Daphnia pulex: one gene and its partner. The protein of the gene in region 2 binds, or shares a complex with, the protein of the main gene of each other region. Links are inferred from orthologs where the notes say so. Each region holds a gene or a part of one and is shown on either strand. Other genes may lie near its edges.

Evidence for each region.
Region 1: the proteins of GTP-binding nuclear protein Ran (region 2) and nuclear pore complex protein Nup50-like are in contact, whole or in part, in a crystal structure (PDB 7MO0), measured with the Homo sapiens proteins. The link is inferred for Daphnia pulex from reciprocal best matches to the Homo sapiens genes RAN and NUP50. Residues at the interface, in NP_006316.1 of Homo sapiens: Arg29, His30, Thr32, Gly33, Glu34, Phe35, Glu36, Phe52, Val124, Asp125, Ile126, Lys127, Ser153, Asn154, Tyr155, Phe157, Glu158, Phe176, Ala178, Pro180, Ala181, Leu182, Ala183, Pro184, Glu186, Val187, Asp190, Pro191, Ala194, Tyr197; in NP_009103.2 of Homo sapiens: Pro344, Pro345, Lys346, Val347, Val352, Lys362, Cys363, Lys364, Phe366, Tyr367, Lys368, Asn371, Glu372, Phe373, Lys374, Glu375, Lys376, Gly377, Ile378, Lys384, Lys390, Gln392, Leu394, Arg396, Thr399, Asn400, Leu401, Asn403, Ile404, Leu405.

The regions. Positions count from the first base shown.
Region 1 is NC_060026.1:3,790,814-3,795,147, forward strand, and holds nuclear pore complex protein Nup50-like, read left to right. Parts: upstream 1-1,925; 5' UTR 1,926-1,988; intron 1,989-2,054; 5' UTR 2,055-2,064; coding exon 2,065-2,223; intron 2,224-2,405; coding exon 2,406-3,118; intron 3,119-3,180; coding exon of another isoform or gene 3,181-3,187; coding exon 3,188-3,322; intron 3,323-3,385; coding exon 3,386-3,704; 3' UTR 3,705-3,893; downstream 3,894-4,334. Other genes in the region: uncharacterized protein PF11_0207-like, read left to right, coding at 1-93. UniProt on the Homo sapiens protein: Component of the nuclear pore complex that has a direct role in nuclear protein import. Actively displaces NLSs from importin-alpha, and facilitates disassembly of the importin-alpha:beta-cargo complex and importin recycling.
Region 2 is NC_060020.1:1,357,971-1,362,762, forward strand, and holds GTP-binding nuclear protein Ran, read left to right. Parts: upstream 1-2,105; 5' UTR 2,106-2,258; exon of another isoform or gene 2,259-2,315; intron 2,316-2,443; exon of another isoform or gene 2,444-2,541; intron 2,542-2,672; 5' UTR 2,673-2,685; coding exon 2,686-2,928; intron 2,929-2,986; coding exon 2,987-3,175; intron 3,176-3,234; coding exon 3,235-3,450; 3' UTR 3,451-3,587; downstream 3,588-4,792. Other genes in the region: uncharacterized protein LOC124192239, read left to right, coding at 1-1,274; NFATC2-interacting protein-like, read right to left, coding at 3,673-3,947, 4,101-4,245, 4,314-4,403, 4,479-4,792. UniProt on the Homo sapiens protein: GTPase involved in nucleocytoplasmic transport, participating both to the import and the export from the nucleus of proteins and RNAs. Switches between a cytoplasmic GDP- and a nuclear GTP-bound state by nucleotide exchange and GTP hydrolysis.

The sequences.
Region 1 (4,334 bases), on a different chromosome or scaffold from region 2:
AAGGGATACCGAACCACTGCTGCAGTTAGAAGACCTATACGATTTATTGACGAAATCCAGCGTATAGCGGTGAACCATATCAACCGTATTTAACCTTGTAGCGTGGTTGCGTTGGCTAAAAAGGAAATGCTTTGACACCTTAATTGTATCTTACTGTGTAGGATCGTATCGGTGCCCGTTTACTCGTTTAGCCATATGTATCTCTTGAATCGGGCATCATACTATTTAAACTTGGAACATCAATAATACTGGTAAACTCTTAACGCCAAACCTAGTTATCTTTATTCGGGGGTTGCTGTTTAGAAATCGAGGCCGCAGTTGAGTGAATGCTGTCTTTTTGTAGTCCAGCAGCAACCGCGGTCCGTTTATAAAGAAAGAAGAATAATCGTGGAATGGAAAGTATAGATTCACAAGTATATGTGTGCGACATACAGTATACGGAAATAAATCATTCGCTAAATGAAACACCGTGGGGTTTTCGTTTGCTCGTCCGTCGCAGAAGGAGAAATTAGATAATTGTAGATAAATAATACCAGTTCTCGAAAGATGTTAATATAACCGAAATGGTGTTGGTTCAAACTTTTTTTTTTCCATCGGCGATCTAGTTGGGTTATCTCCTTGTATACATTTTGGCGCTATTCGTCTTCTAGCTCGTTGAGATTTCATCGTAACCTTTTTTTTTTCTTTTAGAGTATTTCAGTTGGGCCGTCCTCCAGCGTGTGCAGCCAATTGAAGATCATCATATTCCTCATGTATTTTGACAGTGGCCGGCATTGATCACGTTCGACGTCGTTGAGAGTGAGGGCGCTTTTGATCCATGTGGCATCCAGCGGAGATGAATTACCGCCAGATCCGGCTTTGGCACTCAACGACTCCTCACCGCTTCCGAAAGGCTGACACTGTGACTGCTCCGACTGCATCGTCAGATCCACCTGGCCACTGGCCGCCTCGGCAACGACGGCAATCTGATCGAGATTAAACTGGCTCTGCGACAGACGCTCCAGCGCCTTGTAAGCTGTCAGGAGCCGGGGAAGTTTTTGTATGTTATACATTATCACTGGGGCACTAGCACTACACAAGCGACACCAAATGGGATTTGTTGGCAACTTATCAACGATAAGTTATTATCTTTGTAAGGACCATTGTGAGTGACTGACACAGGCCGGTGCGATTTTTTATTTGAAAGTCGTTTGGATTTAATTGACTTGTATTGTGTAGTAGGGTGATACACACCCGGACATTTTTTTGCGGTAAACCAATTTTACGAAATTCAATTTTTGCTTGCGATTTCTTTCTTTCTTTTTGGGCTGTTGTTGTTTTCTTTTTGTATTTATTTTTTAAATTGCGTACTAGTTATGGATATTGACATAATTCAAGTACTCCCGTTATTTGAAGATTTTGCCCTTTCTATCTTTTCTCATGTAAAATCCAAATCCGTGCCTTTCAGTCAAATTTATGTTCTTATTTGATTCGAGTGCACTGTTCTTTGTGATTCTTGTTCGGCTCATGTTAGACTATGCGTTCCTCTAGAAGGTTTCTTCATTTATTACCATTCGACGACAAGTGCTGGAGATTACACCAAGGTGACGGTCTTGGGCGGCAACACCCGCACTCATATTGTCACTCATTTACTGCCCGAGACGCACTACGATCTGAAGATGCAGTCCTTCAACATGCAGGTACCCGTTCAGCAGCAAACTTTCGTTTACATTTCTATCCCACCCATGGAATGTCGTGAAGTATAATTTCTCTTCCACTTTGACTTTGCCGTGAGCTGGGTACGTCTGAATTCTTCTTAGGTAAATTATCGGCAATTTTTAGGCTATTCACTCATTGAATGGAATTTTATTTATATTCTCGAAAGATGGGTACGACCTCGAGTAAACGATGTTTAAAAAAAATGTCTGGCAACATTGTTGCCAGACAGTGTTGCCAGAATTTTTTTTCACTGGCTCGAATCGTGTGAAAATCGTGTGAAACCGGAAATTGTAATTTACTTTCAGTTTTAAATTGTAAGAGTAAGACTCCGTTCAGTTGACTTATTAACCCAACAGGTAACTTCAAATGGCTAAGCGTACGGCGACTCGAGAATTAAATCACGACAACTGGAATGACGAAGAAGAGGAGGAGGAGGCGGGAAGCTTCCAACAGGCTTCGGACGAGGCATTAAAGGGCCGTGTGATTAGACAAGCAAAAAGAAGGATTGCAGGCAATGATGGAGAGGTAATTTATTGTGCTAAGTAACAATCTAGTCAATTGGTTAACTAGTATTTAAGTGTGTCAGATGTTTTCCACATATTTCTCAGGTTTTTTTGTAACCAGGTTTGAATGAATGACAGAACTACAACCGTGTTCCCAATTCCAGAATATTTTTTTACAGCGTGTTTTATTTTATTCCCTTACAGGCGAAGAAGGGTTTTTCTGGGTTTGCTGGTTTTGGAGTTCGCACAGGTTCTGAACCCAGTAAAGCATTCTCCAACTTTGCTATCAAAGTACCAACTACTGTAGAAACAGGCAAGACAGAAAATGGAGAAAAGACACCAACTGATAATGGGGCTAATGAAAAAGAGTACCTTGCCAACCTAAAGTCTCTGAATGAGACTGTTACAACATGGATTACAGACCATGTAAAAAAGAACCCATGCTGTGTACTCACTCCCATCTTTCGAGATTATGAAAAGCATTTGAAAGATCTAGAATCCAAACGAGCTTCACCATCTTCAAAAGAAAACATGACTACTGAACCTGGCAAGATTGACAGTGAGAAGCTTGAAGACAAGAAATTCCAATTTGGTTCTGCATCAGCAGAAGCTCCAAAACCCTCTTTCAGTTTCTTCGGCAATGGGTCGACAGTTTCTACACCGGCCAAACCACCCTCAACATTTTCATTCGCTAGCTCAACGCCGACAACAGCACCATCGATTTCAACTTTTTCCTTTGGCGCCCCTGCTAAAAGTGATCAAGAATCAAAGACTCCGTTATCGACATTTTCGTTCAAGGCATCCAGCACTAGTTCAACCACTAGTCCACCTTCTACCGGCGGGTTGTTTGCCTTTTCCGGCACTAAACCTGCTGCTACTACTACTACCGCACCAGCCTTTTCGTTCGGGTTTTCTAGGTAGTAATCCAACAAATCAATTTTTCATTTTAATGTCTTTAATTCGTATTATTATCTTTGTGTTTCTAGTACTAAGCCGGCAACAGAAGTGAAAAAGGAAGAAGCGGAAGGTGGTAAAGACGGCGAGGAAGGAGAAGATGAAGACGTTCCACCTAAAGTGGAAGTTAAAGAAGTCAAAGAGGAAGACGCCTTCTATTCTATAAGGTACAAATTTTACTTTTATTGGCTTATTTTTTGTGTTTTAACGCTAACATTTTTCCCGCTCAGATGTAAACTGTTTTACAAAAAGGATGCCAATTACACGGAAAAAGGTGTTGGCACAATCCATCTAAAGAAAGTCAAGGACGATAAAACGCAACTGGTGATCCGTGCCGATACCTCGCTGGGCAACATTCTTCTAAACATCATTTTAAACCCACAAATAACGACCCAGCGAATCGGCAAGAATAATGTCATGCTGGTTTGCATTCCCAACCCGCCTATTGATCCAAAAACGCCGCCTGTCCCGACACCCATGCTCCTTCGTGTGAAGACGGACACTGAAGCCGATGAACTCTTGGCCAAATTGAACGAAGCAAAAAAATGATCGACTTGGGTCAGTCATGCATAATTTGAGTTCTTTTTGTTTCTTCCATTTTCTTGTGATCCCCCATTTCACTATTTTATTCATTCAATTATTTTTTTACGATCTGTACAATAACAATCCCCGTTTGAGACGACCGTGATTTCACCACAGGCAAATTTCAAATCAAATTCAATACAAGTAAGAACCTAATATGTAGTTTCTTTTCTTTTTATTGTACGGTTGATTCAAAAGAGTGTGGAGTATGCCGTCATCACGAATCACGATGGAATGTCGTATTTATTCCGGACTGACTGGATGGTAACATTCTTGGATGTGAGCCGTGAGCCGACCGAGATTTAATATGTGATCTGGTTTCAGCATTTAGAACTCGAAAGGAGATGACAGACGAGCTCTGCGGAATGGGAAACCATCACGTATTGAGTTATCATAATTTTTTCGTATCAATATTTTCCTGTCCAGTATGTCACTCATCGATCATTTCCAACTTTAGGAGGAAAAAATAGTCAAACCGACTACGCTACGGTTAAGCCCCTTTCACTTGGTATTTTTTTTATTTCTCAAGATTTTTTATGGCTTTACGTCATGGCGTATCAGCGTTCAACTACATGTCTTTATAATCGACTAGTCCCA
Region 2 (4,792 bases):
TAACTGTTGACAAAAAACATGAGATAGAGATGGATAATCTTCAATATCTGGCACCTGCTTCCATTCTAACTCCAAGTCCTAGTCCTTTATTGATGCCAGTTGATTCAAATTGGATGACACCCTCAGAATATCCTGTTCATTCATCCTCTACCCATATGAAAGCACAGTTTACTCGTGTAGCATATCCGAATTCACAGGAATCTGTTACGAATGTTCCACCAATTCGAGAAGTTGTAATGCCAGATCGTTACTCAGCAACAGCAATGGAACAAGAAGTGATGATGGAGACCACTTTCCTTGAAGACTCCATGTCCAAGAAGACCCCTGATTTATCTGATTGGCATTGCAGTCCACCTTTTCAATTTGAGGATGTGTCGGAAGATGTTGACATCTCTAACAAGGATATGCCATTTTCCCATTTCACGGAGAAACCTCAAATACCTAACGTGAAGCTCGAGTCGCCCGCTATTTGTGAAGACATTTGTTGGGAAGGCAGCGCATTTGATCCACTCGATGACAGTCGTCTTTGTTTTACCCATTTCCTGGAACCTCAAGATGTCAAAGAAATGGATCAAGAAATGGAAATGGATCCATTATTCATCACCACTGTTGCACCAATTGCACCTCCATTTCTCGTTGCTCCCGTCCTTAACCCACCGTTAGCCGCTGGGAAAATAACTGCCAATCCCTTTCTTCTTTCCGATTTTCCCGAAACAACAACACCTCTTCAAGCAAAAAAACGATTGATCGAAACCAATGTAAGCCAATCTCCCAGAAAATTAACAAAAATGGCCCCGCATGTTATGCCTGTGAAAGTTGAATTACTTCAACACAATTCGCCGGTTTGGTTGGTGAAATCTGAATTCGAGGAATCCAGTGTCATTGATCCCGACGAGATTCGACTGCTTCCCTTCGCACCTTCACATTTGGAATCACCACAAGAAGCTACTACAAAAGTCCCATTGAGTCGTCCTTCTACATCTTCGGTACCAAAGTCAAAAGTTGACATAGACGTGGATGAAGAAGGTAATTTATTCGCCACCATTCGTCTGATTGCCCCATCGCCTTCCATCACATCAAACAAACTTAAGGCATCAAAGAATGTTAACTGCAAAAACAAGAGGACTAGTAATCACTTTGGGCACTCTGGAAAAAATCCATCATCAAGGTTAAGCACAAAAAAAGAAACAAGAGCCAAAAAAGAGGACCCATTTTCTGTCAAGAGTCTGATGGCAAAGTTCATTGAAGCTGCAAAAAATAAAAAAATCTCCTAACTTTGATAACTATATATGATAAAACTTGGAGTTCCATGTTTATTTCAGATTATTTTAGTTTATTTTTATGTGTGCATGATTAGTTCGCCAATGTGGAATGTGATGACTACTGAAACCCCCTATCCCCATATTCCCCTTTGTCTTGCGTTTTTTGTTTGGATCCTCGTTCAAGTAGTCAGTTTCGCGTTGAGTTACAAACGAACCGGTATCGCATCAAAATGTTCGTCATAGCTTTATCTCCCAAGATTTTATACACTGTGATGAAACCTTCCGAAAATTATTTTGTAATAGTTCATTGATATTTTGTTTGTAAAACAAAACTCGCCATTATTTTTTGTAACCCAGAAATTCATCGTATCAATAAATACAGATGCTTGTATGAATGATCGCCTCCGTTGTTATTTTTCTTCGAACGGTTGATTTTATAACATACAATGAAATAATGACTAACAAAAAAAACAGCAATCATAACTTTGACAGAAATATTCATCATGCTGCTACCACGTCTTTTAATGTCCTATTAATTAATTTATATACAGTGATGCTTATAGGAATTTCTTTCTTCTTTTAAAAGGTAATTTCATTTGAATTAAGTGCTACTATCCTTTTTATTAACACATTTAGCATTTTAATCTCACACAAAATAAATATATTGTTGATTAAAAAATTAAAAAACATCATCCCGTTAATAGGCCTGAATGAAATTCAACATTAATAAATTACATTCAAAGCTTTAGACAGGCTTTAGAGAAATAGAGAGCTACAGCCCTGCTACAGCCTACTTTCCATTTTCAAATTCCAACCGTCTTTTTTTCAAAGAAAAGGAAAATATTCCCGCCGTTTCTCCTAGTGAAATTTGGCAACATCTCGCTAGGAATTTTTTAGAGCCACCCATTTTCAGCCAGCCTTTACGCTACCAGAATTTTTAGAGACCAGTTTGGTATTAGAACCGCGCGATTGTGAACCTAAAGCTTAAAACCGCCGGTGAGTTAGATTTATCTTCGAATATTGTCCACATCCTTCATCTTTTCGTTGTTTTAAGTAAGCAGTAATGTTTCTTTTGCCAATCTCTTTTTAATTCGGCATGGAAAGTATTTTAGTCATCATAGTTATTTTATTCTGCATTTTTCAAGTTGTAACCTCTAACAGTCATCTTCCTCCATCAAAGACAACGCACTAAGCTAGTCAGTGGCGGTAAAACTGTTCTGTGGTAGTTGTTTGAAATAGTCCCTTTTTTCTCTTGACATTAAACATTGACAGTTAACTTGTAAGTGTTCACGAGTGTGTAAATTTTTAGAAAAATATATTTTGTTGTCGTTAGATTAAGTTCCAGTAAATTCTTGTTGAATGACGCAATCAAGTCTGATCGATTCACTTATCTTTTCTCATTATTTGTAGGATTTACAACAGAATGGCTGCCGAACCTGACATGCCCACTTTCAAGCTGGTCTTGGTTGGCGATGGTGGTACCGGAAAAACCACTTTCGTTAAGCGTCACTTGACTGGTGAATTTGAAAAGAAGTATGTGGCCACACTTGGTGTGGAAGTTCACCCTTTGGTTTTCCATACAAACCGTGGAGCCATCAGATTCAACGTGTGGGACACTGCTGGTCAGGAGAAGTTTGGAGGTCTCAGAGATGGATATTACATTCAGGTAAATGTCAGCATACTTGTATTCACATGGTCTCGACTGACTTTCATTTATCTTGCAGGGCCAATGTGCTATCATCATGTTTGATGTAACCTCTCGTGTCACCTACAAAAATGTTCCAAATTGGCACAGAGATTTGGTCCGAGTTTGTGAAAACATCCCAATTGTTCTTTGTGGCAACAAAGTTGACATTAAAGATCGTAAAGTCAAGGCCAAATCCATTGTCTTTCACAGAAAGAAGAATCTCCAGGTATGTTAATTGTGCTACTAAATTGTAAATGCAATTTGCTAAATTTTGGTTTCATTTAGTACTATGACATTAGTGCCAAGTCAAACTACAACTTTGAAAAGCCTTTCCTCTGGCTAGCACGTAAGCTAATTGGAGACCCTAACCTAGAGTTTGTTGCTATGCCTGCTCTGCAGCCACCTGAGGTGCAGATGGATCCTAATTGGCAGAAGCAAATTGAAGGTGAATTGGAGGAAGCTCAACACATTGCACTACCAGAAGATGATGAAGACTTGTAACATCAACATATTAGGATTTAAGCCACTACACCCTCCCACAAATTTTTCCATCTGTGTTTTCTGCCTTCTATCTTAACCAATTTTTATTTGCGAGGTATGAAAATACATTGTGCGTCATAATACAAAAGTCTTTCGAATTTTTGTTTATTAGTGCATAATTTATTTGCGCAAGGGAAAATATACAAAGTAGTAAAGTTAAGAAAAATGTAGTGAACAAATAAACTACTCTCTAATGAAAACATCGATACACTCGCCACCTTCAAATTCCAGACTAGACGGTGTGTCATCTTCTTCCAACATTTCGCCGTCAAATTTAAACTTCAATTTGGACAAATCAATCCCGGTTGCTTCCGCATACTTCTGCATCAAAACTGCCATAGGGTCTTCGGGGCGCATTGATATAACCACTTGTGCATTCCGGTTCTGACTCTGAACCTTTAACTCCAACAATGTTTCGTTGGAGCTGACGACAACTCCTTCTTTGCAGACTGAAGCATCTGTTAAAAAAAAGCACTGTTACAACGTTCGCTAATACCAAACCCAATCGTCCAAAGTTTTTACATTGGAAAACCAATTGACTTCATGCCAGGGTTGCTAAAACCGATTTATGACGCTGAAATGGACTGTAATTTGAATGACAAGTAACATACCAATGATGTCTGATATCCCAAGTGGCACTGTTTTGAGACTGTCATAGTCATTCAGTAGTTGATCATTGAAATATAGAATTATTTGTCCAGCATCCACATCAGTGATCTCTGATAATTTCTGGCAGATGGTTTTGAAATAATCAGCCTGAATAATAGTAATAATAGTAAAAATGTAGTGGACTAGTTATTGATATGTTGGATGTTGAAGGTTACCCTTTTGATTTCTATCCTCCACACTTTTTGGGCAATGAAGCGAACTTTAACTACCACTATTTCATCACCATCAAGGGTCTGATTCAATTGCTGCACAAAAATATAGAAATATATAGGCAAGAGAATATAAAAGATTATTTACCAAAACCATTTTTCACTTCTTACCGAATCATTCAACGAAGCACAATAGAGTGGGTCCTCCTCACACTCAATTTCATCTTGTATTGCTGCAGGTACTTTACTGAGTTTACGTGATGTAAGATCTTCTGAAAATGACACTTCAGGTGATATATTGATGCAGTCTTCTATGTCTTCTAGAGTTTCCACTTGTCTGTCTGTTTCTTCGTGAACTTCTGTTTCATCTAAATCAACTTCTTGAATTTCTCTGTTTGGAACTCTAAGTACTTCTTCATCACTACTTTCATCAATCTGCTGAACAGGTGTTGGTGATACGTTTCCAGCTGAGGTAAAAATTTTGG